Caenorhabditis elegans: one gene and its partners. The protein of the gene in region 3 purifies or fractionates together with the protein of the main gene of each other region. This does not show direct contact. Each region holds a gene or a part of one and is shown on either strand. Other genes may lie near its edges. The genes, in order: ola-1, aly-3 and fbxc-54.

Region 1 (12,148 bases), on a different chromosome or scaffold from region 3:
ATCAGTTTTTTTTTTGAGTTTTCTGCTGGAAAACAGAGCAAATTTAATTGTAAAAATATTTCTCCAGCGTTTTTTCAGACTAAATAGTTTTTTTTTTTGGTTTTTCTGTGAGAATTTAAGTGAAATTGGGATTTTCGAGAGTTTTAAACCTAAAAAACTGGCAATTTTTTAGATTTTTATTCTATAAAATTAAAAAATGTGAATTTCAGCCAATTTTTTCTGCTTTCTTTTGCCAAACAAGCCCACACCTCAGTCAATCGATTGTAATAATAAATTTGTCCAGGCATAGTTCGACTCTGAACTTCTCTCCAATTTCCAAAAGCATGCAATTTTACTATTTGAATCGATTCGGAGCCTGATCCTGACGGCTGACCCGCCATAAACAGTTGCTCCACCGCCGAGCTGATCTACAAGACGGCGGGTATAGTTTTTGGGGAGTTTTCGAGGCTCAGAAGAGAGAGATATATATAAATAAATGGTCAGAAATTACCATTTTCTGATCTGCGGCCAACTGAAAACATTGAAAAGTTCATTAAATATGATATAAAATTATCAAAAATCAATTTTTGCGGGGGCGGGGGAACAAGTTATGCGCAAATAACAATAAAAACTTTAAATTTATCGGGAAAAAATAAGAAAAACAAACGGAAAATGACTACTAAACAGGAAATTTGGGAACCCCGGGCAATGAACAATTTGGGAAATTTTCCAATTCTACTTCTTCTTGGCTTGAAGACCGGCTCCGGCATTGAATTTGAAGAAGATGACGTCACCGTCTTGAACAATGTACGTCTTTCCTTGTTGACGGTATTTGCCGCCGGCTTTGCACTGAAAATTTGAATTGATTTGTTGTTAGTAGCGAAGTTTCGGTCTCGACACGACAAAGTTTCGTAAATGCGAAATGGTGTGCGCCTTTAAAGGGTACTGTAACTTCCAATTTTTATCGAAAAATATGAAAAATCGATGAAAATTTGCGATTACAGTAATTTTTAAAGGCGCACGCATTTTCGAATTGAACAAAAAATTTTCGTGTCGAGACCGGGTACATTATTTATTTTTATTTTTTATTCAAAATTTCTTTTTTTTAAATCAAAAATTAATATTAAAAATATAGAAAAATCATCGATTGATTCGAAATAAAATCCATTTTTGTTAAAAAAAATTCGAAAAAAGACCTCAAATAGTGCCTGGAAATTGTCTTCAGCCGAAAAAAATTTAAACGACATTTTTTTCTAACTTCCAGGCACTAATTGAGGCCTTTTTCGAATTATTCAATGAAAATTGGTATTATTTTCGGATCAATCAATGATTTTTTTATATTTCTAGATTAATTTTTAGTGAAAATTAGAATATCGAACTTAAAATTGAAGATTTTCAGCACAAAAAAAGCAAATTTTTGTGATTTTTGCTGCAAAAATACGGTAGCGGGTCTTGCAGCGATCGATTTTCTAGAATGAAAAAGAGTGTGCGCCTTTCAGGAGTACTGTAGGAGCTAGTTTTTTTCAGGGTTTTCTCCATTTTATTCAAAATCTAGTGTATTTTTATTAATTGCCACGTTTTCCAATAAATTTTGAAAAACATGTGCAAATTTATAAAAAATACATAACAATTTTGGAAAAAACTTGAAAAGCTACTACAGTACTCCTTAAAGTCGCTTCTAGACCCGTATTTTCAGGCGAAAATCCCTGAAACTCCAGATATCGATCGATTATTCACCTTAGCCTCATCTCCCAACTCGATCAAATCGGCAACTTTCATGACTTCAGCCATAATGAAACCCTTCTCGAAATCCGTATGAATTCTTCCTGCGGCTTTTGGTGCAGGCGTTCCAACTTGAATTGTCCATGCTTTCACCTCATCTTCTCCAGAAGTAAAGAAATATTCAAGTTGAAGAGCTTTGTATCCGGTATGAACAATTTTATCAAGATTCGACGTGACTCCTTGCTCCTTGAGATATTTTTGACGCTCATCTTCTGGCATATCGAGAAGTTTGAGCTCAAATGCTCCAGAAAATGGAATGAGTACTGCTCCGGCGTCATTCGTATCGATCCATGCCTTGATCTTTGGAAGCCACTTGTTCTTCTTACGAATATAATCCTTTTCAGACAAATTAACCAAGTAAACGATTGGCTTGGCGGTCAGGAAGAGGTGTTTGTTGAGAATTTCGATTTCTTTCTCGTTCCAGAGCTCTTGACGAACTGGTTTTTTCTCTTCCAAACACTTTTTCACTCGGACAAGTGTATCGTATTCAATTTTCTTCGTTTTATCATTGGCACGAGTGAAAAGCTTCTCAACTTTATCAAGTGGACCATCAATGAATTGAAGATCCTTGGCGAACAGTTCGTTGCTGATAATTTCCAAGTCACGGACTGGATCGACTTCTCCTGAAAAGAAAATTGACTTGATTTGGTTAATTTTTGATTTTTTTTTTGTTGAAAAAACATTTTACAGCATATATTTTAAAAATGGTACCGAAATCCGACGTGTTGGAACATTTATCAGCGTATTTCAGAGTAGTAAAAAGTTTTTGCTGAAATATACTCAAAATTACTTGAAAAGACATCTAAAAGCTTTAAAAGTGACCTAAAATAGCTTTAAAAAAACTCAAATATTGTTCACTTGACCGTACTTGAACATTTTTCGGCTTATTTTGGAGTGATAAAAACTGTGCTTTGCTCAATTAGGCTCAAAAGGGCCAGAAAGCTGAAATTTCTTGATGAAAGTTTCGAAAAAATGCATAAATTCAGCTAAACACTGCCATTTTGCCGTGCCACAGCACCTGGAATGCAATTTTTGTTCATTTTTTTCACGATTAAGGTGCAATTTTTGGTCCAAACGTGTACTTTTCAAACAAAAAATGACTAAATTACGCAAAAACAGAGACACTTTCGAGATTTTAGCTAAATTTGTTGTCTTTTTCCAACATTTCTGAGCAATTTCCATATGAAATTAGGTATGAAATTAGGGGTCTTTTTTTTTTAAAACCTAACATTTATCCTCTTTGAATGCAAAATAGGTAATTCAAAACTGATTTTTCGCTCCAGGAATCTCCAGAAGTCTGAAAAATCTAGAAAATCGTAAAAGGAGAATAAAGCTTTAAAATAAGTTTGAGCTTTCTTCTGGTGCATTCCTTCTCCAATTTCTGGTAATTTGGCGGCAAAAATGAATATTTTTCGAAGATAATCAATTTCAGTCGAAAATTTCCAGTTTTTGTGTAATTGGGGGTCAATTTTGGCTTAAAATCGGTAGTTTTTTACAATTAGCTTTATACGAGGATCCAGAAAATCTAAATTTATTCGGAAATTTGTATTACCCTCAACGTGAGTAACATCGTCATCATCGAAAGCACGGCACAGATGGAAAAGTGCATCACAGGCGGATACGTGAGAAAGGAAAGCATTTCCGAGTCCTTGACCCTCTGAAGCTCCCTTCACAAGACCAGCAATATCTGTGACATTCAGGAAAGCTGGAACCTTTGAAGCTGGCTTGTAGTGGTTCACAAGCCAATCGAAACGATCATCTTGGACGGCTACCTGGAAATTTTAATGGTTGAAAGTTGTTAGAAGGCTTTAAATATTCATTATACAGTGCAGGTCGGCTCTTGCGTCGATTTACGGTGTTATACACGTGGAAAACTGAATTTTTTGAATTTTGTACTATTTATTTTGCGTTTTACCTGTAAGAAGCTAACTTTTTTTTTCAATTGATAATATTTCAAGCAAAAATCTATGTAAAACAGCTCTTGGGGCTATTTTAAATGTTAAATAATTAAATAAATAGTCCAAAAATCCAGTGAAAACTGTAAAATTTTGCAAAAATCAGTTTTCCGCGTGTATTACACCGAAAATCAAAGGACTTCGCACGATTGGAAAGGCTTAAAATCAGAGGATTCCGCTGGAATTTTCCAGAAGAACGTACTCTGCTCTCATTCGGATCGATGGTGCAGAACGGGAAGTTTTCAGCCTGTGCTTCGGATTTGGTGAGCACATTGAAGAATGTCGACTTTCCAACGTTCGGAAGACCCAGAATTCCGACTTTAAGGTTGGTACCAAGACGTCCGATCAACGCGGGCTTCTCCTCGACGACGTTCTTCTTTGGAGGCATCTTTTTGATGGTTCCCTGACGACTTTTAAGTGTTTTACAATAAAAAAAAGATGAGAATTTAGAAGATAGAGAATTCTGGGTTTAAAACCATTGAGCTATCAAAAACCTAGCCTACTGAATCTCTCAAAATTCAAAAAGTTTATTCCAGATTCTGAACAGCTTACGAAGATTGGTGGGTGATGGGAAGATCTCGATCACCCGAGAGAGTATCGATAAATTAAATATATAATTAAAGGTATTTCTACCACAAAAAATGAAAAGAACAGAGAAAAATACAAGATCGGTGGGAAAAATGATAGAAACATGCGGATTTGGATAGCAAAATTTTAGAATGGACGTCCTCCTGGTGGGCCGCCATATCCTGGCTGCATGGCTGCCATTCCTGGTCCTCCGTGTCCGCGCATGGCTCCAGAGAGGCCTCCTGGTGCTCCGCCTGGTGGCATTCCCGGCATTCCTGGCATAGCTGGCATTCCACGGCCTCCTGGCTTGGCTTGTCCGACACCTCCAGCTCCTCCGGCCTTGGCGAGTCTCACTGAATCGTCATCTCTTGGTGGTGGTCCGTCGACGGTCATCGAGACGATATGTTCTCCGCGGACCAGTACGAGGCCGAGAATTCGCTTTTCTTCTCCATCGGTCTGAAAATAAAATGGTTTTTGTCTTCAATCAACGCTGCAGAAACAGAAAACAATACCTTCTTTCCGGCCTTTGGCTTGATTTGTCTGTGTTCCTCGCACTCTGCGAGTAAAATGTTCATATGCTTGTCGAAAGCCTTGAAAAATCCGATGAAGGTTCTACCGTCCTGAAGGATGATCTTCATCCTGTAGTTGAGATGAGCCATCATCTTATTATTCTTGGAGATAGTCTGAAAAGAAAATATTTTGTATTTATCTCCATGAGAACTGTAGAAAAACTTACCATCTTGAGGCGTTGGTTGTGATTTTTTGTCTAGGACCTGGAAATAAGAATATTGAAGTTTTACTCTTTCAAAATGAAAGAAATTAAAGAGTTCTGATGATACAAGAGATGAAACAAACGAATATTTCTGCAAAACAACTTCTAAAAGTCACAAGAACCGTTTGAAAACCGATCGTTTGAAATTACATAAATACCGGCGAGAAATCAAGGTTTTGAAATTGATTGAAATTTTAAGCGATGAAGAACCTTTAAATTCACTAATTTTTCAATTTTTTCGAAAGAAAATCTTAAAAATCAACTGAAAACCGACAAAACAAGCTGAAAATCAGCCAAAACTGCTGGAGAATAATTCGAAAATCTAGAGACGCCGCAACGAGACCCATTCGTATAAATGCGTGCGCCTTTAAATCGATTTGCGCGGCAGTTCAAATAAAAAAGGCGTGACCCCACGGAAAGCAGAAATTGGGGAAGAGAAGGTGAGGGGAGGGGTATAAAAAATGCAAAAATCGATTATTTCGAATATTAGTCCAATCGAAGAGTGGTGAATGGAGCAGTCTAACGGTCATAAGTTGTATGTCGTGTTGGATCAAGTGAGAATTTTCGAAAATTTCTTGAATTATCCGGTAATTTTATTCAGACATTCGTGTGTTTCGATATTGATCAACCAAAAAATGCGTGTCAAAAGTTGAAATTGAATAGTTTAGCTGGTGTTGGACCAATTTATTGGAGATTTCTGGTATTTAAGCTCAGGTGTGAGCAGCCTCTGGAATATCTGAATTTTTTCAAGACAAATGCTCCAACTCGATATTTCATAACCCCAAATCAGGCTGTTTTGCGTGACGATGAGCCGATTGAAGTGTGTATCACACTTTATCAGAACAAGTTCCGACCGAGACATGAAATCGTGCTTCAAGCTGCATCAATTCCAGAATGTGGAGATTTCGACCCGAAAGTTGGTTTTATTTTCGTACAATAATTGAATATCATATAAAAAAAATAAAGTAAAACTTTTCGAAAACCTTCAGAAAAGATGATATTTCAAGTTGAAAACCGAAAAGCTGTCAGTTTTCGCTAAATTCCGATTTGAATTTCCGCGTTTTTTGTGAGAGCGTTGTTCGATGGAGCGCGCTTGCATTTGACAAAAACGCGCAAATTCAAATTGCAATTAAGCAAAAAAACTGAAAGATTCTCGATTTTCAGCTGAATTTCAGCTTGAATTAAAAACTTTACAAAAAAAAAGAAAGTAATTTTTCCCTACAGAAACTCTTCGATTCTCCGGAAAATGTCCAATCCATCTCCCTGGATCTCGGCACAACCATCATGAAAATCGAGTCGGCAGTGGAGATTTCAAAGACGGCAACCGATTTTCATACGGCTCTCGACGCGTCTTCAGTGATTGGTTCGGATCGTGTGGATCAGCTTAAGTGTAATAGAGCGCGTTTGCTTCGTTTTTTTTAATTTTAAATTTGCGAAAATTTCAGCGATTCTAAACCTGACGAAAAGTGACACAGCACTGCTTGAATCTAATATAACTCAGGCAAAACAGCTGAAAATCACTTTGGATGCACAATTGCAACAAAGGTAGTTTTGAATTTTTTCCGGGTCTCGCCACGATCGCGTGCGCCTTTAATGGTGTATCAAAATTTAAAAAAAAAACGGATTAAAAACTACAGTACCCCTTATAGGCGCACACTCTTTACATAAAAGTTTTGATCGTGTCGAGACCCGATACAACTCAAATTTCAGAAAAGCTCTGGTCGATGAGTACAAGTCGAAACTGACAGTGCTGGAAGGAAGTTACATGCGCAAAAGTGCAGAGGTACTGAGATTTTTTATTTTGAAAAATTTAAAAAAAAACTTGAATTTCAGGTTCAACGTCTCCAAAACGAGCTTCAAAATGCTCAGAAGGCTCATGCAATGAAAGCCACCACTGCTCCAAATGAGAAAAATCAAGCAAATTGCTCAATTTCTTGAATAAAACGAATAAACTTTCAAATTGAAACATCCCGCCTTTTTTATCGAATTCTTCCTCTAACTTGTCTCCGTCTCTCTTTCTCATTCCCTACTACTTCTCTGCACTCTCTCCACTTCCGAGTACTCTCTCCACTGTGAGGCTCCACTTGTCTGTCATCTCGCTGTCAATCTCCATCGTTTTCGCGACGAGACCCACCACATTAAAAAGGGAATATTCTCTCTGCACAACTGTCTGCGTCTCTGTATATCGCCGGTGTTCTATGTCTAAAACTGCAATTTGAACCACTTTTTGTACTTGTACAGTTGGATTTTTTCGTGTAGTTTTTTGAAAAAATAGGTTTTGCAAGAGCTCTGTGGTTATTGATTTTTCCTAAAAATACACATTTTCTGCTCAGTTTTGCCCACATTTCGAAATTGCCCATCTACGTTTTTTGAAACTTTGATACGAAAAATTATATAACTTCTAGGTTTTTTGTTAGAAAAAAACTAGCAATTAGACTTTTCAATCAATAAAAGTTCCCATTGTGGGAAAATTTTCCGAAAAATAAAGAGATATTTCTCATGGAAATTGTTTGAAAACTAGAATTTTTCAAAAATATTTATCGATTTTGGCTCTTTTTTGCTCAAAGTGCTCATAAACTTATGTTAAGATGAAAAACTTTTTTGACACGAAAATACGGTATAAGGTCTCGACACGACCGAAATTCTCGACCGAAAAATATTTTTTTTTTGTAATTTTCAGTGATTTTTCTTTCATAATTATTACGGGAACAGAAAACTCTGAGAATGCGTACATCGCAACATATTTGACGCACAAAATATCTCGTAGCGAAAACCACAGTAATTTTTTAAGGGACTGCTGTAGCTCTCGTGTCGATTTACGGGTACTAATTTTCGAGACAGTGATATTCAATTTTCTGTAGTTTTTTGTACTGTCTTGTTATTTTTGAGTGTTCTTTTGATATGCTATCAATTAACAAATGATTTCCGTAAATCGACAAAAGTTCTACAGTAGTCATTAAAAGAATTACTGTAATTTTCGCTACGAGATATTTTGCGCGTCAAATATGTTGCGCAATACGCATTTTCAGAATTTTTTGTTCCCGTAATAAATAAAAAAGCAACAAATGAAAACTAGGAGGTACAGTACTATTTAAAGGCACATACCCTTGCTAAAACATTTTTTTCGTCGCGTCGAGACCTGCCACAGTATTTTTTTTTGTGAAATATCGATTTTTGTCCCAACCAAGCTCTTACTCATTATCAAAGTTATTTTTCATTCAAAAAATTGAATAAAAATTCCCGTATTCTAGAACCTAAAATGGCGGCCGAGTCGGCGACTACGGAGACGGTTGAGAAGAGCGGAAACGAGGAGTCAACGGTAGAAGTGAAAGTGAACGGTGAAGCTCAGGTTAGTTGGGATTTTTAATTTCACACAATTAAACTTTTTTCATTTCAGAACCCTCCCCAAGAGTCAGCAAAACCAGCTGAATCAGTAGAAGACGATGATGAGCCAGCTCCAGCCAAAAAGAGAAGTGGTGGAGATTCTGAAGAGAAGGAAGGTAGGGTTTTTCTTTTTTTTTTATAGAAAAAATGTGTTAAAAATGAGATTCTGTTCAGATGAAGCGGCAGAAGATGGCCCAGAGGACGGTGAAGAGAAATCAAATTTGGATGATGATCAGAACGTGGAAAATCCGGCGTATATCCCGAAAACTGGAAGGTTTTATATGCATGATGATAATCGTAGAGGCGATGTTAATAATTCTCAAGTTCAGGATGATGATAGGTAGGTGCACAACCTGAAAAAAAATGAACAAGAGCCAAGATATGGGCGGGTTTTTAGAAATACTAAAAAAAACCGAAAAAAATCCAGAAAGTATGAGAAATCCTACTCAAATTTTTCAATTTTGACAAATGCTCATTTTTTGAATTCGCTCCAAGATTAGAACTACAAGACCAATCAGAAATTTGCTCCGCCCAACTTTCAACCAATCAGATGAAATGGGCGGAGTTCAAAGACACTGATTGGTTCGAAAATGGGCTTCTCATTCCGGGGGATATTCGAAAATAATCCAAAACAGGGAAACGGGAATCCTAAAACTGAAAATTTATAGTGATGACCGCCGAAACCTGAAAAAGAGCCGCGCCGACTGTGACTGGAAGCACGACCGCTTCGATGAGAAATTCCAACGCCCAAAGACCAAAAAACAAATTGTCACCAAGTACGGCTTCGATATTCGTCATAAAGACGGTACACCAATACAAGACGGCGAAGAAATCGATGCACCAGCACCTGAATCCACAGAAGAAGAGTCTTCGGATGCTCGACAAGTTTCCCGACAACAGAAGGATCGGAGAGTCTCGTCGACTACGAGGGGGAAAGTCGGAAAGAGTGGAACGTCGAGAAGGCCGATGAAGCAGAGAGAACGAGAAGATACGGTGGATGAGTCAAAGGGAGAAGAAGAGGAAGATCAAGGTGTAAGGCCAGCACAGAAGAGGCAGGTGAAGCAGCAGGAGAAGCCAAGGAAACAGAGTGAGTTTTCTGGATTTTTAAATATGTTGGGTTTAAGTTAAGAAACTAGATTCGAAAACTAGGCCCCTTGTGCAAAAAATTTATAGTTCTCTGGCAATTGCTCTGCTTTTTTTTTCGGTACTTTGGAGGAATCTGATGCAAAAACCCCACTAGTGACAATCAAACTTAGATCTTAATATCCAATAAAGATTTTAACATCCAATCAAGCCTCCCTATTTTCAGAACCCGCAGCTCCCCCATCTAGCGAGGAAAACGAAGAAGACGAGGACGATGGTGCAATCCGACGTGGCCAACGACGTGCTGTTCCACTCCGCCGTGGAACCACGTCGGGCCCTCCATCTCGACTCCGTGGACGAATGAGCCATCCGATGGGACCACCACGACGATCATCCGGAGCTCCACCATCTTCTGCTAGCAACAGACGCCCTGTGGAATCTTCATCTCGAGGACCTCCACCACCACCATCATCATCTTCCCGTCGTGACTATAGCCATCAAGGAGATCGAAATGATGATCGATTCGAGAATCATCGACGTGGTGTTATACGAGGAGCATCCAGAGGAGGAGGCACCGTGACACGTGGCACTGGAGGATACGGTAGAACTGGTGCGATCAGAGGAGGTGTTCGAGGATCTGGAGCACCAAGATATGGAGTAAGAAGAACTGATACTTCAGAACAAAGTGAAGGGTATCAGCGAGGAGGATCCGGTACGGATTACTCATCACCTCGACCAAACCATCAATCCGATCGTTCCTATCAAGCATCTTCAACAAACTTCCGTGGTGGATCCCATCCTCATCCATCAGCCAATGTCTATCCATCATCACGGGGAGGTTATTCCTCAAACAATGCTGATTATGCTTCACGTGGCGGTGGCGGCTACCACGGTCCACCACAACATCACAATAATCACCATAACCACCAACAGAAGCGTTTCGTGCAGGGACCCCCACCACCGATGGTTGCCGTCGGTGTTGTGCCCGGCAACGTAGTCCCACCCCCACAAATGACACGCGGCTCCACACACGGAGGAAATCAACATAATGGAGGAGGTGGTGGTGGTAGTGGTGGACAGCAGAGGATCCGACAGCCCACCGATGTTGTGTACTTTGATCCCCAGCAGCAACAGGTAAGACTACAGTAACCCTGATGGGTCTCGACACGATATTCTTAATTTCAGGGAACCCGCCAACTTCCTCCACGCTCTAAAAAGGTCATCCCAATTGTTGACCCAAAGGATCATCAATAAACATGATCAAAATTCATTTTTTAAATTATTAATTTCAAATTTTTAATATATTTTCTATATATTTTTTCCCCGAAACTTCATCCCATAGGCCTTTTCTTATGATAATCATTGCATCCCCCCAAAAAAATGTATTTATTGATTGATTGCATCCTGAATACTTACGCAAAAATTAATATATATTTATTTGTTTTCAGAAAAAATATTTACATTTTCAAAAAAAAAATTAATAATTCTCATACAAAAATACGTTGTTTTTTCTGTCTTTTTTCTCTTTTTCTACTTAATACAGAGTAAAAGTGTTTTTTTTTTTAAATAAAAATAAAAAAAAAAGAAAATAAAGTTAAGAAATTGTGCAAGTCGGTGATCGGATGTGATGACTGCCGGGATCCACACTTGATCCATTCATCTGAAAGAGTTTTTGTAGGTATGGGTTTTCTGGTAGGCAGGCGTAAGTGCCTGCCTGCCTACCGCCTGTTTTCTGAATTTTTGTTTGGTGTTTGCACAGCAGTAATTTAAAATTGTTTGGCGTACGGTAACTTCGGTAATTACCGATTGCCGAGGTAGGCGCCAGGCAGGCGTAGGCCGCAGAACTTACCAATTTCCTTCCAGAATGATGTGTATTATTATTGTTATTATGGTTATTTTGAGCAGAATTTCCATTTTCCACAGTCAGATTCTCCTGCTGACCACCTTCTTCTTGATAAATCGATTGATCGTGAAGCTCCATATATCCGTCGATTGTTTGTTCGCCAGCTGAAAAATAGGCATAAAAGGTTAGAAGGCTAACCCACGCATGCCTACAGGCGGGTAGCGGGAATAGCCGATTTGTGTTGATTTACGGATCCCTCTTCATTAAAGCCCCCGTAAATCTACACAAAGCGGCTGGGTCCCGAGATGTCTGTGCCTCTTCAACTATCTACACTCTCTGGGTCTCGGCGCGAAAAAGGCTTGTGGTAGAAGTTGAGGAATTTTTTGAGCAATAAAAAAAATTTCGCGGCGAGACCCATCCAGATAGAAACTCACATCTAGGTCTTGAACACAACTCCCATACACTTTTCCGATCGTTTCGTTCCAAAAAGTAGGTGTACATCATTCCTTTACCCTGAAAACATGGAATATTTGACCTCCGTAAATCTACACTACAGTACCCTGATCTCCGTATTTCCTCTGTCAATGAACACGTATGATGGATTAGCTTTCAGTCCGTTGAGCTTCCCAGTCTCGCTGACGTGAATTTTGCATTGAATACCGTTGGATTCCATTTTGTTCGCCACGTTGACAGTGTCACCGAAGAGACAGTACCTGGAATAGATCGTCAGCCGTTTGAGATACAAAAGTTGTCAACTGACAAAGTATTGGAAATTTCAAGATC
Region 2 (10,147 bases), on a different chromosome or scaffold from region 3:
AATTAAAATCTAGATGTCACCATGATATAGAGATTTGCAGCACCTGACACTTCGCGGGTTTTGCCACACATCATAAAAGGTACCAGTAAACACCAACTAATGACGAAAGCCGGTAAGTGTCGGTCTATGACAATAAGAGAAGAGCAGCTTTAGAAAGGTGGGATCGTATTGTTCAGAAATCGGATCAGTACCACTTTTCGCCCCTGACCTTTACATTTCCTATTTCCTACATTTTTCCATATTTCCCTTCCCCATCATTTCAAGACTCTTTCCCAACTAATCCCACTTCTAATTTCGTTCTTCTTCTTCTTCCAACCCTCACTCTCTCTCTTCTAATCGCCTCTGGGTGATGTGTGTGTTTCCTCCCGTAATACTGCCTAAAATGTATGTAAATATGTAGACCTTCATCTTTTTTCCCTCATATCAATCTTTTCCAATTCATCCATCCACACCGAAGAGGTCACTCTTTAATTAGAGGGTTTCCATTTGGATGTTACAATGGAATGGAAAAAGAGAGTTGACTGACTAGCTGCTCATTAGCGCGTTTCAACAAAACCACCAAAACTGAGGAGAGGACTCGTTTTCTTTTGAATTTTGAAAATAGAGAGAGAGCTCGAGAGAATTCAAAAAGAAAAAGAAGAAGTGAATATCGAGTTACCGAATCTATAATATTCTTCATGCTTTTCTCCGTATTTTTCTTCAATTCGACCCCAACTATTTCAACATTAGTGACTGAACTGAGTGGCGGGAGAGCACTGTGCTCGTTGGCACTTGATGTCAAATCAGCTCGCAAATATGTCTAAGTCTCTGATGAACATACATTCTATTATATCCCTGTCGATCCCATTCACACAGGACAACACAAACAACCGGGGCGTTTCGCGCGGACACTTTTCGATTGAATCTCAGACGACGGCGACACGCGTCATATCATACAGATGAATCGGGTAAACTTGAGAAAAATAGTGGTAAAAGGGTGTGACAGTTGTCGTCCCTCAAAGAGTCAGAGATTCCACAATTTGATAGGTGTGAATGGAATTTTTTATCGAATTATGTAGAGTGACATCTAATAGGAATCGCGAACTGCGGTGTCGGTAAAAAGCGTAATTTTTCGAAAAAAAAACTTTAAAATTTGGTCAATTTTCTTATTTTAAAGAAGCACAAAAATTTGACAAAAATTGAATTTTTTGATAATTTTCTAAACAATTTTTCGGTTTTTCGATTTCCAAATTATTTTAGCCAAAAACTGTATAATTTTTCTAAAAAATGCACGTAGTTCTCGTGGAGACATCAGGACATTTTCAAAGCTAAAATACGGTAAAGGGGCTCGATACGACAATTTTTGTTAAATGCAAAATGGTGTGCGAATTCAACTTTTGTTATTGCCGAATTTATATCGATTGCTCGTAGGCTTCGACAAAATTGAATTTATGTATTTTAAAAATTTCGCAGAAACAAAACTTTTAGATTACAGTACTCTTTAAAGGCGAGCACCTTTTTGTATCAAACAAAAATGGGTCTTGTTGAGATCGGTTAATATTGCGTCTGTGTAATAAGGTGGGTTTAAATTAAAATGAATGCCAAAAATAGAAAATAGGCCGAAAAAAGAGTTAGAAACCCTAATATTCATTTCAAAAATTCTAGATTTCCAGAAAAAGAGCAACATTGTTTGTAGAATTGCACCCACCCATCTGGTTGTATTTAATTGAATATGGTTACCTTATTGCCTACTCTTATTTACCATTTTTCTATTCAATCTCTTCTATTACCTCTTTTCATATGTTAAAACGGTTTCTTTGAAACTGTACCGGCACGCGCCTCTTCCCTCTTTCTCTTTCTTATTTCTACAATAATAAATTGGTTAGGAAACAAAGGAGACACAATCTCTCGGACCTATGAAGATGGCCTTCGCCTCTTTTCAAGTATCCAACTTACGATCACAAACTCGCAGTCATCTCTGTCAATTCCGCGAAAGTCATCGATTCGAGTCTTTCGAAGTGACTGCACATCTTGGAATTGGTGCCATGCATAGTCTTCGAGAATTTGATCTACATCGACGTGATTCATTTTCTGAAATAAAAAAAAATTGAGGAATGTTAGAAATATTATTTTAAAGACACATAAGTGAAAGAAACTGAAGAAAATATTGTTGAAGCGCAGAAAAACGATATATGGGTCTCGTTAGGTAGTTGGCAGCAAATTCAAAAATCTTCAAGATTTTTTCGTATTTTTTGTAATTTTTTCTGTTGTTTTTAATGATTTTAGTGTCGAAAGTGATGAAATAAAATTCGTAAACAAATGGAAAACCTTCTTGATTTTTCAACTTGACATGAATTTCTATAAATATCATTTCGATAGAAAACTCGACAAAACTAAGGATTTGCCACCAAATACCTAACGAGACCCATGGTGTGTGGGCGGAGCGCGTTTCTACGCTTTCTGTGTCCTCATAATAATGATATATTAGGAAAATTTCGAAATATGAGGACAGAAGTGAAGGAAAACAAAATGGAATAGAAAAGTAAAATGAAGCCAATCAGTGAGAGGTATTAGGAAAAAGAGAGAATCCCTTGAGAAACTCTTTTTCTTTTCATCGATAAAGTTGATGAGTCAAATGAGAGAGTAGAGAGTGAGAGAGAATCACAGGCGGAGGTATCGAACTCGAAATTTACACACAGATTATCATTAACAACAATGATAACATTACGGTTGAGAGAACACACTGTGAGTGCATTCTGTGCTTGGAAGGGGAGGAATAAGACAAGTTTTGAAAGGGGAACCGACACAATAGAAAAAGCCGGTTGAAAAGAGCCAAAAACGGAGAAAGAAGAATAGAAACGGCCTTTATTGCATTTTTTAGGGCATTGGAAACTTAATATTTTAGAAAGCAACAAACGAAGTGTTTAAGCTTTGTTCAACATTGAAAAGTTATCGTAATCTTCTACTTAAAGGCGCATGGGCTCATTTGGTTGGGTCTCGCCGGGACAAAAATCAATGAAACCTTAGCAGCAACGCTGGTTTGAAGTTACAGTACTCTTTAAAGGCGCACACCTTTCCGGAGTTAACAAACATTGTCGTGGTGAGACCTGGTACCGTATTTTGACACAAAAAAATCGGTTCAAAAACTTCTTAGAAGTGAAAAAACAGAAAAAGTGATATTGTTTTTCAGCCTGTCGAATTTTATAGTCGTAGATTTTCCCACGACATTTTCTCCCGATATTCTTCAATTTCCGATAATTTATCAGAAGATTATGGGATGCGTGTGAAAATGTATAGATGGTGAATCAAATAACATTTCAAAATACTGATCTATTTGGTTATAAAGGTGCTGTTTGACGTCATAACCGTGGTGAGCCGTGTGTCAAAAAGATGTTGAAATAAGGGGAGGAGCACAAGTACAGTACCCCCTTCGTGTGCCAAAAGAATACAGCTGTTACAAATCAATAAACACAGGAAAAGAAATGAGTCACAACGAGTCTATGGAGTTGACGCGCGTTTCCCCGCAAAAATGGGTGGAGCCTGTTAGGAATGGAATGGGCGGAGAGATGTTTGTGAGGGACTGAAGGAGGGGAGAATACTCTCATTCACTGCGGGAGATTTCGAGTCGATAACGGGAAGAAATAGTTGAATGGATGCAGAAACGCAGATAATTTCAATTTTCCGACTGTAAGAATTTTTCCGACAGTTTCTGTTTCTGAGTCATCAAGAGCGTCGTTTTTTGATTATTGTTTTGCTCTATGATGTCAATTGTTCTAAACGGTTGTTTCTTTATTTAGGCATGTGAAATTAGGTTTCTCAAAATTAAAAATCCCTATTTTTGCCAAGAAATTCTGAAATCTCGTCATTGGAGAATACTACGAGGGGTTCTTGCACTAACTGCTACCACATCTAACTGCAAAAAAAATTATAAAAGTTTTCTAAAATTATTTTAGGTTTTTTTTCAATTTTGAAAAAAAACTCTTGCTTGTAAGATTTTGAGGTATTTTTCCGCAATGAAAGCATGACAACTTGCTAGAAAATCGTAGAAACTCTAACATTGACCTAATTGTGCAAAACAAATTTTAAATTTAAAGAAAAATCAATTTATGTAACGGGAAAACGCAACAAATCGGAAAAACTGAACATTTTTTTTTGAAAAATAGGAAATCAGAGTAGATAAATATTTGAAAATAGTTTTTTTTTTCTAGAAACCGTATAAAAATACCACAGAATTTGATCGAAAAACAGAGAAAATCGAAAAACAAAATAAAACAACCTGTGTGCTACTGTCAATTACCTTAAAGGGACACACTCCTTTCGGGGTGCGGGTCTTGAAGCGCTAGAAATATCTTACTGTAGAATAAAATTCATTTTTGTTTTTTGTTGTTGCATGGATTTACAGCTCAGTTTTGCTATACAAAATTTTTACTTAAAAAAATCAAAATTTAGATTTTCTGTCGGATGACATAAATATTGGGAACTTTTGAAATAAATAAATTCCCAAAAAAAGCTCACCACTACACCTACTCTGAATACTCTCTCGTGCCAATAATTCACTTTTACGTCGCCGATTCCAAGATCATTAGGCGGTGAGCATTCTGAGAGAGCATTCTAGTCGTGGAGACCCTCTTTTCGTCTCCGATTTTTCTGTATTCACTTACACGCAAATTATAACGGGAAGCGGAAAAAAGCGATTCAGAGAGAGACAAACGAGAATGTTATAGATCGACTCTCTGTTGAGAGGGTTCCCGACTAAATCCTATTACCTGTTAAGAACATGATTAGAAGGCGTTGTGAGATGGTGGAAATCGATAAAATAATTTATTGTCTGGTGGTAGTTATCAGAAAACACTACATAAAAACATGGAATGACAGAATCTAGAGCAATTAGATTTTTGAGAGGTGAAAGGCAATAAATATCACACACGAATATTCAACAAGTACATAAAAATACAAATAATAAATTGATCACTGATTCTTCTTTTCTTCTTCTTCAGTAGTAGCCGTATCCTGGGATGTCTCATCTTCACTAGTAGATGTTTCATCCGGTTTCGTGTCGTTTTTCTTTTTCATATTAGAAATCTCAAGCGGGAACCATCCTTTGTTCCGTGGATCCGACTCTCGGAATCCATATACCCAGCCAGCAATTCCACGTGTTGCCACGATTGTTTCACCAGCCGAAACTTTGAGACATTTTCCATCGATAATCGGTTGTTTCATCCAAACTTTGCAGCCGAATTTACGAGATGCGCAGCAGGTCCCAGCAAAATCTTCGCTGATGGTGATTATACGCGAACGACCACGCTTCGATTGTTTCTGGAGCAGTTGATCGATCTGAATATAAACATTTTTAACGGATTTTATTGTAATTCAATTTTTAAATGAAAAACTTCAATGTTTTCATTCTAAAAAAATAATTTAATGAGCTTGAACTTACTGTAAACGTAAACTGCGTGCATCCGTTCACAACTGGCCACCATGTTCCATTTCCTCTTGTCCTCCCGTCAAAAATTCCAATAAAAACTTCACGAAGATTTCTCTTCCAACCAAGATCATATGGATACGTCCATTCACCCAGACTCTTGATCCATTCAATTTCTTCTTCATCGTCACCTTCATGGACTTTACGCATGTTCAGAGACTTTCCATCTGAAAACACAGTAGGTATTTTTAAAAAAATTGTCAGAAGCAGCTCACGAATATAGTCTTCAATTCCATTTCTGTTTCGAATCACATATCGTAGTTGAGTTATGAATAGAAAAGTGAGAGCCAGAGCAACAGCAATGGCCATTGCGATTGCAAATACGAGAGCAATGAAGGAAATTGGTGTAAGAAGGATTATAGGCTCCGTTCCATCGCCATATTTCTGATACCATCCAGCAAAGATTGCGTGATAGAGTGCTGAACCATCAATGATAGTCGAGTGAATACATCCAACAACTGAGAAGAACAGGAAACGAAGGAAATATTGATGGTTTCGGTGACCGACACAATTGTTGATCCAAGCTGAAATATAATATAATTTGTAGATTTTTGCAAAATCATAAAAATTTAAAAAATTGTATTATTTTATTCCAGCTATATTCGGTAAATATATTGAGAATCTTTACTGTCTGTTCGAGCAAAAAACCCGACGATACTCTATCTATTATTTATTGAAGAAGCTCGGCCTAATCTAGAAACTTACGACAATGATGATCCATTTTCATACAACAACGATCACATTTTGAGCAATGGTGAGATCTTGGAACTTTGAATCCGTTGCACGGAACACAAAATTGAAGTTTCTTCTCGTCGGCTGCATTCTCTGGTCTCCAGCCACGTGGCACATATCCTGGACCGAAGAATGAAGCGTTGAAGAGATTTCCTATTGTTAAATAATTCCACAATAAAAATGTTAGTGTATTGAAAAGTCCCATGTATGAAGTAACAGGCATCCACTGAAGAGCAAAAAATGTTGTTACTGCTCCAATCTGAATCAAATATTATTTTATAATGATCAAAATTATATAAAAAATACCATGGTTATTGTGGAGAATGCAAAAATGGTTCCAAAATGGAACATTCGTCTAAATACAGGCTTATCTCCAATTTCTGCAATTGGAGCAGGCCAATCCGGAGTCTCCACCACCTCACCCGTCATCTGAATTGATTAAATTTCAATAATAAAATATTTAAAATTAAATCAAATTTCGAACATAATTGTGGCGACCTGGGTGAATCCACATAACTGACAACGATATTCTTCCATCGAAAATCGACTTCATACTTGATCCAATAAGAAATTATTGACGCTCAGTTTATTATTTTATCGAATTTTTAAAATGTGGACAAAAAGATCACGAGAAAGGAAAGTAGTAGAACGATAAATATAAAAATTGGTGATTGTGTAAAATATTCCGAGTTATTAATGTGATAGAACAACAGAAGGATCAGAGATTATAGCAGATATCAAGAATGTTCAAAAAGTGATTTATAGTTTAAAAAAAAAGTGCTCAGGCATTTCGCTTCGCCATGTAGGCTTCGAGCTCCGCGTCGAGTTCAGCTTCGGTCTTCTTTGGTTTTGCATCACGAGCTCCACCACGGCCTCCCTTGCGGAATCCACCTCGACCAGCTCCGCCTCTCTTGATGTCACCGGCGTGCACTCCGTCGCGGAGGAAATCTTCTGGTTCTGAAAATAAAGATTATTCTGGTGAACACAATTTAATCATTAAAACGTACTGCCATTGTTTCTGCGAGGACCCGATTGGAATCCACGAGATGATCTTCCCGGTGAACTACGAGATCTGTTTCCAAAATCGACTCTCCCAGCCATGTTGCTCGAATCAATGACGGCGAATTTCATGATCTGAAATATTCATGTTCCATTTTGTGTCACCTGAGATCAGGATTTGGGTAACGGAGAAATCTTGAATAACCAAGTCTCGAGCCAATCAATTAATGCGTGTCGACAGCAACGGCTTTCCCCTCACAATCCATCTCACGACACGGGTCAAAACTAATTTCAACGAGCTTCATCGAATGAACGGCCACACTCAACAAAAAAACCTCAACACAGGTTTATTAAGTCTCTTTTTGAAAGGAAACAACGAGATTCTGATTGCCTGGGTCTGTTGTTGCGTACAGTAGATTTCTGTGAACTGGTAGAAGAAGAACAGAACGCATTCAGGAGCGTCCGCTGGAGCACACACTTTAATCAGGATTCAGCCCCAATTGATTGTTTCAAAGTCTTTGTTATCGATTTGTTGTATCCCAATGCAATACCTTTCCATCTAGAGCGACACCGCTAAACTTCTGAACAAGTCTCTCAGCATCACGTTTGGTGAGCGAAATGTCACCAGTACCCAATGAATCACCTGAAAATAAATTGGTTCAATACGGTTGCATATATTATCAAGCTTACCATGCTCGTTGAAGTTGACCGAAACTGAGCTGAGTCTGTAGTCGCCGAAGAGTTCCTCCAAATCGCTTGAAATGACTGTTGGGGCAAGATTAGAGATATTTACTCTAATAACCTTGCTATCTATAATCAAAATGAGTAGAAAATAAGATACATATTGATTTGAAACCCACCATTTCCTCTGCTTGAAATTCCATGATTCTGAACCGCGTCCAAGTCTTTCCATCCACCACTTCCGCCGGAGCGGCGTGGAAGTCCAGTGGGTCTCGTATTTCCTCGTCGAGCTCCTCCGAAGGATTTCTTTTGAATGCTTCCAGTTGTCTTTCTGGTTTTAGAGATGATGTCCTCAAGAGACAAATCGACATTGGTAGCCTTAACCATTTTTCGAAGATTGTTGGAGTTGAAACTGAAACGTTTTTCAATTGAATTAGAACGACAACATTTGGTTTAAGATCAAAAGTAAGTTCACGGGAAAAAACAAAGAAAAAAATTATAATTATTCGGAAGAGCAAATGTAGCGGAGACCAAAGTGGAATGAGAAATAATGAATGAAAAGATAGGAATGAGCAAATGAGGAAACTGAGAAAAACGCTGCGTTTGGTGACCGCGACGCGTACGCAACGCGGTCAACAGCATACGTTACCTCTTATTTGAATAAAATTCTCAACACATTTTTTTGCAGAGAATTAGGGAAACAAACAAATTGACAGCTTAAAATCAGTGTAGAGAAATTTTAACGTTTTTCAAATAATAATTCAAAGTAAGAAAAAGGATGGAAACAAGTATTTAAAACTAACGACACAACGAGTGGCTCATACAAAAAGTTTATTACTTCTTAAGGCCAATTGGCAACGAAAAATCATTCTTGAAAATTATTTTGAGACCAGTGATGTATATCTAGCAAAGTAACTAAATAGGATACAGTATTCATCGACGCAGAATTAACCGTATAAAATTCATCGCATCATCTTCTTCTTCTTGATCATCGTTGTCAAACTCTGGAACATGATCCCAATTTTCCTCTGTATCGCCTTCTTGTAATTCGTTTTGAAACGTAATTCCTTCTCGTTGAATTCCGAAAAAGCGTCGTGGTTCACGAGTCATGCTGATATATTCCCATCCAAGGTGTTCATGACATCTGGAGCACTGAATGATAATCCATGCGTACCTGAAAATCTGACTAATTTAATGATAAAGAGGTATTTGAATAAGCTGACTCTGGAAACCATGTGAATTCATATGATGGTGGTGTAGCTCGATCATAGTTTCGTATTTCTGACAGTAAGGTAATTTTGTGAACAAATCCGTGAGCATTAACATGAGTCATTGTTTGATCTGGAAGCCTCATGATATGTTCATTGCGGAAAATTGGAATGCGACATCTAGAACATCTCCCGACAAATACTTTGAAATACTTCAGAGCAGCAACTATACGACCGTTCGCTGAATCTTCTTTCAAGAGACTGTACTCAGTTAGCCGATTAGAGAAAATATGCTTTGCAGCAAAATAGCTGAAGTATGTGAGGCCACGATCTTTAGCTTGTCTCACAGTGTCATCTCCAAGCATTCCTGAAAGTAGTCCCACGCATTCATTCACAGCACTTTCTGTAACATCTCGAATAGCATTGAATGGATATCCATTGATTCGGGTTGCAATTGAACGTTTTTCGTGAGCAGGTAAATGTATTGCATATTTCGGAATAAATGATGGAAGTAACGATGGAAGTTCGACGTCTGGTAGCAATTGTACTTCTGCTTCACCACGCCCTCTGAATTTGAAAGAAATTAGAAGGAAATTATGTTTCGTAAAACTTACAAATTATACTTCAAAACTTTACATCTGTAGACGCCCATCAACTCCATACTCAGAGCGTTAGAATTTGCTTGAACAACTCTAGAAAGTGTAGCAATATATGGGAGTGATGTGCATTCTGGAATATCCAATGGAAACAGTACAACAAATCCATTAGCTCGAGCACTCGATACAAGTCTTTCATAGATTTCTCGTTCATCATCGTGGAATTTCATCGGGAGTTGTTGCCCTGTAAACTAATATGAAATCGGGAGGTTTTTCTTTTTAAATGTAACTCACCAGGAAAACAAACAGCACTGACTCCACAAATCGGAAACCAATTTGTTCCATAATCTGTGAGTCTGGCTTCATTTTCATAATTTTCTCTATTTTCATTGTCTTGAAGAGCATAATCGAATCTGTGAGTCACGTCAACATTCAGTCCTTCCATGGCTTGTGGCTCCGCATCTTCTGCG
Region 3 (10,401 bases):
TCCTAAATTTTCAAGTCACCATTTTAATAAGTAATTTTTGAAAAAGACAGTTGGAGAAATTCAAAATCTCACAATTATGGATTTTTTTTCGAAAGCTTGCAGTTTGCAGAAAAATTGCTGGACAATTTCTTGATCATTTTCAAGAAATTTATTATCTTAAAATTCACATCAAATCTCTTTGAATTAAGAGGTGGGCGGCAAACGATTTTTCCGGCAAATCGGCAAATTGTCGAAATTGAAATTTCCGGCAAACTGTCGGAATTGGAATTTCGGTCAAAATCGATTTGCCGAATTTGCCGAAAATTATCGGAAAATTGTGATTTTGTACTTTTTTCTTGGAAATTTCAGAATTTCAATTTTAATCGGCAAAATTGTACACATCCTATAAATGTTGCTACATCTATTCTGAACAGTAAGCAAATTATATGATATTATTAAAGAAAACGTGAAAAAATTTTCAAAAAAGCACAGTTTTAAGTTTTTCCGTCTTTTAAAAAATCCCTCGAAACATTTCCGACACATGGCAAATCGACAATTTGCCAAAAATGAAAATGAACGGCAAAACGAACGGCAATTGCCGCCCACCCCTGCTTCAATTTTTTAAGTGTATACCTTTCTGAAAGTATAAAACCCAGGTCTATGCGGACAATTGATCCCACGCAATTGCCCAGCCAAACTATTAGATTGGTCTTCTTCATTCTGCTCCAAATTGGTCAAAGATTCACATACATCACAAAAATAACAATTGTTTCCATAGCCACCACATCCATTATTACTCGCGTTTTGACACTTCATGTTGGAAAAGTCCTTTACATTCCACCACTGATATTCCGCTTTCGCAAAAAAACTATTGTCAAGCGCTTCTGGTAGATCTTTAACTTTGACATTCTTAATTTCCAAAGTAAAGCATCCTGGGAATCGAACAACGTCTGGCTTTATATGAACTTGGCTCGGGTTAATATCCAATATTTTTTTTGCTCCGGGTCGTGCTTAAAAATAGCTTCTTTGTGAATCAAACAATTATGGATAACAAAAAATGGAAAAGTACATACTGCAACTTGCGTCAGCCCTTCCGGGAACCAGCCAAATGTCCTGATAGTTGCATTTGTGGTTGAGCTTCTTCCTAGCATCGGTGTGTCTGACTCCATTCCTATACTTTGCACGACATGCAGGATCCAATATATCGCAGTCAAGTTGGGCAAAAATCGATAATATAAATGAGAAAATAATCAGAATGGATATGTTGAAGGTGTAATTCGAAGATCGCATACTAAATGTGAATATGTGTATGTTTAAAATGGAATTTTCAATACAATTCGAATAAAAGGAAAGTAAAATATTTGTAGAAGCAAATCAATTTCTAATGATAATTGCGTCACAGTGTGTCCTCTAAAGTGTCTTCTTTCTTGTCTGCATTTTCTCTTATGCCTCTCTTTGTAACAAGATTGGCCGTACATGCCCCTCTTCCGACGCACCTAACCTGTTGACCATGGAGACCTTGGAGGTCATCATTTTTTTTGTGCGAAATTTGGCATTTAGCAAGAGAAGGGATCCCTTATGGGAGAGAAATAAAGAGTAAAGATAGGCAATTATGCTTTGTACCACGAGAAAAAAAAACTCATTTGACACATGAAAATCTTTTGAAAATGGAACAATCTTATACTATTCAGTACATGTGCTCCATGTCGTAAAGCGGTTTTTTACAGTTTCTTGAATGAAATCTCACGTGGTGTCAGGCTGTCCCTTCGCTCTACTGCACATGAAAACTTATGACGTCACAGCGAACTTCGAATAATTGTTTTTCAATTTAAGAGCCGATTTTCGTGAAATTGTTTTATCATTTTTTGAAGCAAAATGCAATAAAAACACAATTTTATTTTAAACATTATATTTAAAAATTATGAAAATCGAAGCTTAAATTGAAAATCAATTATTCGAAATGCGATGTGACGTCACAATTATTGCAAAAAAACATTTTTCCCATCTTTCGTGTGCAGTCAAGCGATGGGACAACTTGACACCACGTGACTATACGAGTTGGTGATTAGAATTTCAAATACAAAAACAATTTAGGAAAATACTCTGAAATTAGGAACTTTAGCAAAAAGAAACATTTTAAAACTATTGCTCGAGGAGTACACGAGCTGTGGAAATCGACATATTTTCCAATTTATTATTACGGCAACAAAAAATTCTGATACTTAATGCATATTGCACATCATATTTGACGCGCAAAATATCTGTGTAGCGAAAACTACAGTGACTATTTAAATGACTACTGGAGATCTTGCGTCGATTTTCAAAAGAATTTCTCAGTGACAGCGATATTACATTTTCCTTCGTTTTTTTTTTGTATTACTGTCTCATTTAAATTAAATAATATATTGCTTTCAATTCATTAACAGAAAATCGAACCCGTAAATCGACACAAGAGCTACAGTAGTCATTTAAAGAGATACTGTAATTTTCGTTACGAGATATTTAGCGCGTCAAATATGTTGTGGAATACGCATTCTCAAAATTTTGTGTATATCCCGTAATAATTGCAAAAATACACTTCAATTTTAAGAAAATTTGAAAGTTGTTCATAAATTGGCGGCATTTTTTTTTTGAGAATCCTACAGACAAAAAAAACGTGAAATTTTAAAGAAGCGGTGTCGGTGAATAGAGACGAAGAGGGATTAGGAGATAAAAATAATTGATCGAAGCAGCAGAAAAACCGATTTTCTTCATTTTCTTGCCCATCTCTCTCTCTGTCTCTTTTTATTTCGAAAAAAGACAGTCAGACTGGATTTGAGTGGAATAGAGGGGAAAGGGAGGGACAGTTCTACGAAGCGAAACGAAAACGATTATCCATCTCTGTTGGCAGTCTCATATGGAAAAGGTTGAAAATTGAAAATATTCGGGAACAAGAAGAACACAATAATATTTATTTCGACATACAAAAGGATTATATTTCTTTTTTCAACGAAGAAAAAGAAGTTGAAGACAAGAAGAGAGAGAGTTAGTACTCTGACACGAAAAGGGTAAAACTTACCTGAAAAGGAAATTGGAAAATAGGGGGGGGGGGGGGGGGGAATAAAATAATGAATAAATAAAAAACATTTAATGCTCCATAGATCTATCGATTTTCGACTGATGTTTATGCTTTTGATTGAATGATTCGATGAACTGTGAAGATGATTGTCCGTTTGACTCGGCCTTATATTTTTCCGGTACCGGGACATTGAGGATTTCAGGTAACATCCATGGTTTAAGCCATCCGACTAGAGGTGATTGTCCAGGTTGGTATACAACCGAATTATGATAGAAGAGGAGTCCATCGAGACGGAAACTGGAACAAATATTAAAGGTGTAGTAGGGAAATTTGACTTTTTGAGGGAATTTCAGGGAATTTGAGTGCATTTGCAGACCCAAAACGGTCCAAAACTACCAAGTTAAATTAAACGTTGTGAAAATTTCTCAAAAAAATGTTACAGTATTTCTTCTATATTCTATTCGAAAATTAAATTTTTTGAAATTTTGAAACTTTTTGAAACAAAGCAAAAAGCGAGAATTTGAATAAACCGATTTCGCAATTTTTGGTTTTTTTATTTATTATTACCTGATCTCGTTTTTCATAAGCTCCGCCATCTGATCTTGGGAGCACGGACAGCTGGGAATCGGTGAGAAAATATTCCTGAAGCCAGGCGTAGATTTCGCTAGTTCAGGAGCCTCTTCAAGTTTAGACTTTAGCATAAATTGGCGGAAATCGTATGGACTCTCAACATATTCGTGTGCATTCCATGAAAGAAGATCGAGCACATAGTATGTCTGATTCGAGTAGATGCAGTCAAGAATTGTCCAAGCCTGATCTATAAAGTGAGCACATTGAAATCGATTTTTTATTTATTTCTAAAAACACACATACTTTTAGCACGAGTATTTCCACCAGGAAGGCGAGACTGAAATCGCGATACTTCTCTTCCGCCTTTGTTATATGCAACTGTGAAGCCCTGAAATACAAGATTATCCCGGGTTTTTAATAATTAAATCATTAAAAACAAACTCGTGATGCAACGACAAGTGTCCGTTTGCCCACTGGAGCCATAACCATCGTCCAGTCGGAAGAAAGTGATTCCGGAATATCCACAAGCCACTCACTCAACATCATTTTGTCGGCATATCTTTAAAAATTGAAATATAGTTTTTTTTTAGTTTAAGAATTCGAACTTTTAGGAAATTACTTACTTTTTAAATTTTCCAGTGTGTTTTTCAGCAGTAGTTGTCTCAATTTTTTGTTCATCGTCTTCGTCAGAAGTAACGTCATCAAAAGCTAAATTTCGTAGTTTCATAAATGTGTCAAAGCGGCCATTTTTTTGCCGCTCAAGCGTTTCTTCACGACGCTTTGCTTGTTGTTCTGCAGCTTTTGTAAGATTTTTGTACTGCGAATACCTCGGATGTTCACCTGAAAAAATCAATGTTTACTTTTTGTGTTTAAAAAAGGAGTCTCACCAAGAGCTAGAGGATCGACCTGAAATCCACTGCTAAGCTGGTCTGTCAACGAATCTAAATCGTCCCCCATTTGTGATACTGGAAAAAATAATTTTAAATTAGTTTAATCAAACTTTTAACTAAATGAGTATAAGAAAAAGCTTTTACAACAATTAAAAAACTGTAAAAGTCGAAAAAGTTGCTCTGTTGATTTACGATAAACATCTCTCGTTGCGGGATAGTGGAGTGTCGTTGGGGGAAAATATTTTTTCGATTTCGAAATCGATTTCAACACATTCACAGCGAGAAAAAACAATTGCATATAATCGATTTTTTATATTATGGCCTGTGTAGACATATCACCACTATCATATGAATCTGTAAAATCCGTTGTCAAATATTTGAGCCTGAAAAAAAGGTATACTATTTAATATTGATATTTAAAAAAATACTGGTTCATTAACCGCACGGTTAATTAACCAGTATTTATTACGGGAACACAAAATTCTGAGAATACGTATTGCGCAACATGTTTATATCTCGTAGCGAAAACCACAGTAATTTTGTAAATGACTACTGAACGCGTAAATCGCCACCAGCGCTACAGTAGTCATTTAAAGAATTACTGTGATTTTCGCTACGAGATATTTTGCGCGTCAAATATGTTGTGCAATACGCATTCTCAGAATTTTGTGTTCATGTAATTTGAACACATTGAAAAACAAAACATTTTCAGGGAGCAAATTAATTTATCGATTCCGGCATATCATAAAACAGCCAAACTTGCACCTTTCAAACTAGAAAACGTTGGGTTATCAGATTTGTACATTGAAGTCAATGATAGAACGTGGACTTTGAGTGAAACTGACATCATTGGTTGCACTCTTGTTTTGTATCGCTCAAACGGCTACAACTTCCAGCACATTATTTCAATAACTCCTGAAGTTGCGTTCCAGAAGCTTATATCCGAATATTTGAGAAATGGAACACGTATTAAAAAATTTCACTTGTATGCCCTTCCAAGTCTGCTCAAAAACGTTGAGCTTCATGTGTCAGAGCTGAAAATTGACGGATGCGACTATGAAACATTTGCAAAGTTCCGTAAATTCATTGATCATAACCAAAAAATATTAAAGGAGATTGGGTTTGTGGTGCGTCAGAATACTTTATGGATGTTTGATGAACAATTGGTACAGAACACTTCAAGCTTTCCGCCTTCAACTTTTGATAAATTTCAGGTGAAAAACAGTAAGGAGATTTATCTCCAGTTTCCGTATTATAATCCGGTCCCGTTGGACGATATGCTTCTTCGGCTGAAAAACAATCATGTACACATTATCTATCTGGGCTTCCCGATTGAAAAACTACAAGAATTGGCTATGGTGAGAAATTTTGTAATATTATACTTTGGCCAAGTTTGGTGCGGATCTTTTTGATTTTCCACTCAGAAATACGGTACCCGGTCCTGTCACGAACAGAACAATAAGGTCTGCGCTTTTAAGTACGTGGTGTCAGAGTGCCCCATATTGATTTGATCTACGCAGATCTATGAGAATCGCGGGAATTTAGATGCAGATTTCTTAACTGGTTTTGAATGGTTAAGAACGTGCTAACGTGAAATTTTTTGGAAAAAAATTCCCGCATTTTTTGTCGATCAAACCGCAATGAGACAGCCGGACACCATGTGTTTAAGTAAAGCACAGTATTTAACCCACTACTAGTTAAAAAAAAAATATAATTCAGAACTGGATCGACACTAAGAAGCCAATTGGTACCTCACTCTTCCTGGTTGTTGAGCATTATACATATGTTATCGACGTGTTTGAGCATTTAACCAAATACTCTAAAGCTATTCCTTCAAGACTCACTGATCTTGGGTAAGGTCTTAGAACTCTATAATATACAAATAAGCTTGACTCATTCAGAACTTCCTTCTTTTCACATTGTGTAACAATGCATATTGATGAAAGTTCTGAATTGGTGCTATTTGGAGGTCCAATGGTAATTGAATGGAAACCGTTCAAATGGACGTTGAGAATGACGATCATGAAACGCGGATCGACAATTTCAAAATGATTTGGAATCCTCCAAAATTCTGATTTTCCTCAATAAACATTTTAATATTTTATGTTGCAATGTGAATACAATTTTCCTTCTCTGTCAGGATACTCCAGAAGGAATGTATGGAATCTTGATGTTCAGAACATCAGCATCCCTTGATCAAACATCGAATCTGTTATTACACTAAAGTATGTGTTCAGTGAAAGTGCTGTAAAAGATGATTAACGTCCTCAAGAAGCAAATGCTGGCCGATGACAGTTTTTTTGAAGATTCAGCTAATTTCATTAGATATTCTAGTTGATTCAATATCTTGAAGAAATTTTTTCGCGAGATGATGATGTTCTTTCAAGTTAAAATTTTGATAAGTTTACGTTGTCAAAAATAACAACAGAAAACTACAGCTGGGAGTAACATTGCATATAAATAACATAAGTATTAATTTATAATTACACTATAAAATAGTTTTAAAATTGCCTCAGAACATGTAAACAGTCTAAATAATTACTTTTTAGATTATTGTAGATAACAAGAAAACAAGTACAAAATCAGTAAGTATCATGTCATTACACATTTGCTAGAACCAGTATTTTGAACACACTTGCGGACACAGGTCAACACACTTGTTCTTAGCACCCGCCTACAGCTTAGATGTTCCCTTTAAAAGGAAGTACTTACGTCGCTACAAGGGCAGATTTCTCCCTACTTGGCTATATCTCTTTGTTCAATGATTAAACGTCTTCTCTGCTTTCTCTTTTTTGGCTTAACTTTTTCAGCTCCGGTGCCATTACCCCTAGAAGAAGATTTTAATGTTTTCCATACAAAACAGGAAAACCATGGTACGTTTTCTCATCTTTTTTGAAATTTGTATCAATTAACAGAGCAAAGATTCCTTCGTGTTGATCACAATAGAGACAAAGTAGTCTCATTCGACGAATTTCTTCACATGGAACTTGCATATGTTGATGCAAAGAAAGAAGAGTTTGATACGTTAGATAAGAACCGTAAGTGATGTTTAAAGCGTTGAGAAATTAGCAAACTACTTTAGATGACGGGAAAGTGAGCCTTGCCGAGTACGAAGAGCATTTCCACGAAGCCTCAAGCAAGAATGAAAAATCTCGGACCGCATACTTTGCCAAAGTTTTCGAAGATTTCGATGAAGATTTCAATATGGCATTGAGTCGTGAAGAACTTGAACGTGTGCTTGCTGAACGATTCTTAGTCAAACCAAGAGAAAACTTTCCCAAATTGTTTTTCAAGTTTGACGTAGACAAGTCCGGAGGACTTGATCTGACTGGTGAGCTAAGTGCTCGTTTTATACATCTCGAAGTTTTTTTTTACAGAATACATGAAATTTGATGCTGAATTCCCATTCGATCAAACCGATCCAGTTGGTGGAGGACCATCCAAATCTAACAATCACCACGATCAAATGCACACAGAAGTCCCTCAAGATGCTGACGCTGCTGCAATTGCAGCCGTGTTGGCACAAGCTTCACCAACACTGAATAAGAGTCCAGTCGGTGTTGCTCCACCCCAAACGTCACCTGGATTGCATCCAGTGGCACCAGGGTTATTCCAGACGGCGGTGCCAATCAAAAAAGTTTGATTCTAACAGTAACTTTTACAATTGTAATTTTTAATTTTCTCTAATACTGGTATCACAAATCACTGTCATTCACCATATCAATTGTTTTTGTAAATAAAGCTTTATAGTTAAAATATTATATACAAAAATGCATTGCACAAAAGGCTGAAATCAGTGAACTTTAGTATCAGAGGTTCTCGACATAATCTCATTATGTACATCAATCTTACTCAATTTTTGACCTTCTTTGCTGTGACGGATACCATAACAAATGTAGATTACAATGCCAATCGCCAACCATACAAAAAGACGAATCCAAGTCATTGAGTTTAGATACACCATCATGAAGACATTGATGAGTAGACCAAGGCATGGAATGAATGGAACAAGTGGCACCTTAAACTTTTGAACTTATTATTTTTTGTAAAATGTTTCTGTTCACCTTATACGTAGATGTTGACTTATTCTGTTCATGGCCCAAAATAAAAACGAATGATAACAGTGAAAAGGCAGCACCGACTGTCAATAAAATAATACCACCAGCATTGCTAAATATTCCTGTTCTGAATGGAATTGCCAGGCAAATATAACCAAAAATTAATCCTGCGACAGCTACGCGAATTGAAATCCCCTCTGAGAAATTTTCCCAAACACCTTGAAATGGTACCCACGACTTCAGGCATCCGCCTTAAAATTTTTATTTTGTTAATTTTGCTAAACACGTGTGTGTTGCTTTATAAAATCTTACCATTATCATAATCAGTTGCACTACCATCTACAAGATGGGATTGATGCCGCAAAATAATAACACAGATTGAGACCATTGAATAAGCCAACAGAGTTCCAATTGACAAAAAGTCGACAAGCGCCTGCAGATCGAAGACCAGTGCCAAAATTGCGTTTATTATAGTAAACACAATAGTTGCATTGAGAGGGGTTTTTGTTTTTGAGTTTATCACCCCAAACCACCCGAAGATAAGACCATCATCAGCCATTGCATATACAGCTCGTGGAAGAGCGAATGATCCAGTAACTAGATTGTTCAACATACCCGCTAGTGCACCAACACTCATTATAATCTTGGCAACAGTTGCTCCTTTCATTTCGAATGCAGCAGCAAACGCGGCATCAGGATCAACTAAGTCGTATGGTATCATCAGCGTCAATGAGGCGCCCATAAGTACATATATGACACTTATAATTGCCAAAGAAGTGAAAGTAGCCAGTGGGATTGTTCTATGTGGGTTTTTAGCTTCTTCTCCAGCAGTGGCTAAAGCTTCAAATCCGATAAATGCGAAAAAGCATGTGGAAGCGCCAGAAATAGCTCCTTGTATTCCATACGGGAAAAATTTTGAACGACCATCCTGGTATGTTCCTGACCAGAGTGAAAAGTCTGCATAGGTTAGTCCACAAATAATCACAAACGCCAAAACCTGAATGAACATTTTGTAATAGGTTTTGACACTTTAACATACCGCCAGATTTAAAAATACAAAACTAGTATTCACGTTGGCAGAGAACTTTGATCCCATTGCAACCGCCACTGCTACAAGAAACAATAGGAAGAACGCTAAAAAGTCAGGGTACAGTGCAAAAAATCCTTTTCCCTGTAAGTTGAAACGCGTATTAGCATATCTGATTCAAAAATGGCACGAACATCACTCAATCGTCCAACAGTATCCAATGTCCAGTTGGACACACTTTTAGATACAAGATTGTCGAAATAAGCAGACCACGAACGAGCGACAGCGGCGTTTCCAATCATGTACTCTAGTGGTACTGTCCATCCGACAATGAATGCCCAAATTTCACCCATTCCTACATAACTGTATGTGTATGCACTTCCAGCTCGGGGAAACCTGGAAGTTTATCAGTTTAAACATGTAAAGTTAAAAAATAATAAAATAAACCTTGCTCCAAATTCAGCATAGCTGAAAGCTGACAAAAGTGCAGCAAAGCCAGAGAAAATAAAAGATAGTATAATTGCTGGTCCTGCTTGATTTCGAACAACGGATCCCGTGAGTACGTATATTCCAGCTCCAATCATGTGTCCAATCGCAATGAACATTACGTCAAGAATTGTTAAACATCGTTTCATTTGTGATTCAAGATGTGATCCTCCGTCAAATGTCTTTTTACGAAACAAGACATCGGCTATTTGATGTACCTTCATGGTTGTTTTTTCTGAAATTATATATTTCTGAAGGTGAAAAAACTATTCATACAAGAAAGATTAAAAATATGAAAAATTCGGTATACTTTTATATGGTAATATTGTTTTA

The links.
Region 1: the proteins of fbxc-54 (region 3) and ola-1 fractionate together in Caenorhabditis elegans (co-fractionation; one large-scale study listed by BioGRID). This does not show direct contact.
Region 2: the proteins of fbxc-54 (region 3) and aly-3 fractionate together in Caenorhabditis elegans (co-fractionation; one large-scale study listed by BioGRID). This does not show direct contact.

The regions. Positions count from the first base shown.
Region 1 is NC_003279.8:13,332,305-13,344,452, reverse strand, and holds ola-1 (Obg-like ATPase 1), read right to left. Parts: upstream 4,127-12,148; 5' UTR 4,105-4,126; coding exon 3,919-4,104; intron 3,534-3,918; coding exon 3,314-3,533; intron 2,385-3,313; coding exon 1,717-2,384; intron 829-1,716; coding exon 715-828; 3' UTR 501-714; downstream 1-500. Other genes in the region: wac-1.2 (WW domain-containing protein), read right to left, coding at 249-380; snr-2 (putative small nuclear ribonucleoprotein-associated protein B), read right to left, coding at 4,431-4,739, 4,796-4,966, 5,020-5,022; W08E3.4 (Major sperm protein), read left to right, coding at 5,565-5,609, 5,657-5,971, 6,280-6,445, 6,501-6,600, 6,766-6,838, 6,889-6,993; casc-3 (Protein CASC3), read left to right, coding at 8,315-8,404, 8,453-8,555, 8,614-8,779, 9,108-9,526, 9,749-10,656, 10,708-10,776; Soluble guanylate cyclase gcy-35, read right to left, coding at 11,117-11,182, 11,372-11,529, 11,800-11,878, 11,925-12,078. UniProt on the Caenorhabditis elegans protein: Hydrolyzes ATP, and can also hydrolyze GTP with lower efficiency. Has lower affinity for GTP. Plays a role in regulating starvation-induced thermotaxis responses in AFD thermosensory neurons.
Region 2 is NC_003282.8:12,121,427-12,131,573, reverse strand, and holds aly-3 (Chromatin target of PRMT1 protein C-terminal domain-containing protein), read right to left. Parts: upstream 8,293-10,147; 5' UTR 8,261-8,292; coding exon 8,053-8,260; intron 8,003-8,052; coding exon 7,883-8,002; intron 7,836-7,882; coding exon 7,744-7,835; exon of another isoform or gene 7,328-7,743; coding exon 7,201-7,327; intron 7,151-7,200; coding exon 6,975-7,150; 3' UTR 6,765-6,974; downstream 1-6,764. Other genes in the region: lin-24 (CABIT domain-containing protein), read right to left, coding at 1,936-2,067; dhhc-6 (Palmitoyltransferase), read right to left, coding at 4,948-5,313, 5,417-5,628, 5,677-5,985, 6,167-6,452, 6,500-6,622; M18.6 (CULT domain-containing protein), read right to left, coding at 8,807-9,047, 9,097-9,648, 9,696-9,921, 9,972-10,147.
Region 3 is NC_003280.10:27,011-37,411, forward strand, and holds fbxc-54 (FTH domain-containing protein), read left to right. Parts: upstream 1-4,708; 5' UTR 4,709-4,814; coding exon 4,815-4,891; intron 4,892-5,209; coding exon 5,210-5,663; intron 5,664-5,711; coding exon 5,712-5,855; intron 5,856-6,216; coding exon 6,217-6,350; intron 6,351-6,398; coding exon 6,399-6,549; 3' UTR 6,550-6,601; downstream 6,602-10,401. Other genes in the region: F23F1.4 (DUF7753 domain-containing protein), read right to left, coding at 1-2, 613-989, 1,053-1,269; F23F1.5 (Snurportin-1), read right to left, coding at 3,106-3,334, 3,605-3,854, 3,911-3,995, 4,049-4,166, 4,231-4,447, 4,495-4,564; F23F1.2 (EF-hand domain-containing protein), read left to right, coding at 7,259-7,370, 7,413-7,535, 7,580-7,828, 7,875-8,140; F23F1.6 (Cationic amino acid transporter C-terminal domain-containing protein), read right to left, coding at 8,291-8,515, 8,562-8,806, 8,868-9,552, 9,595-9,726, 9,777-9,978, 10,030-10,292.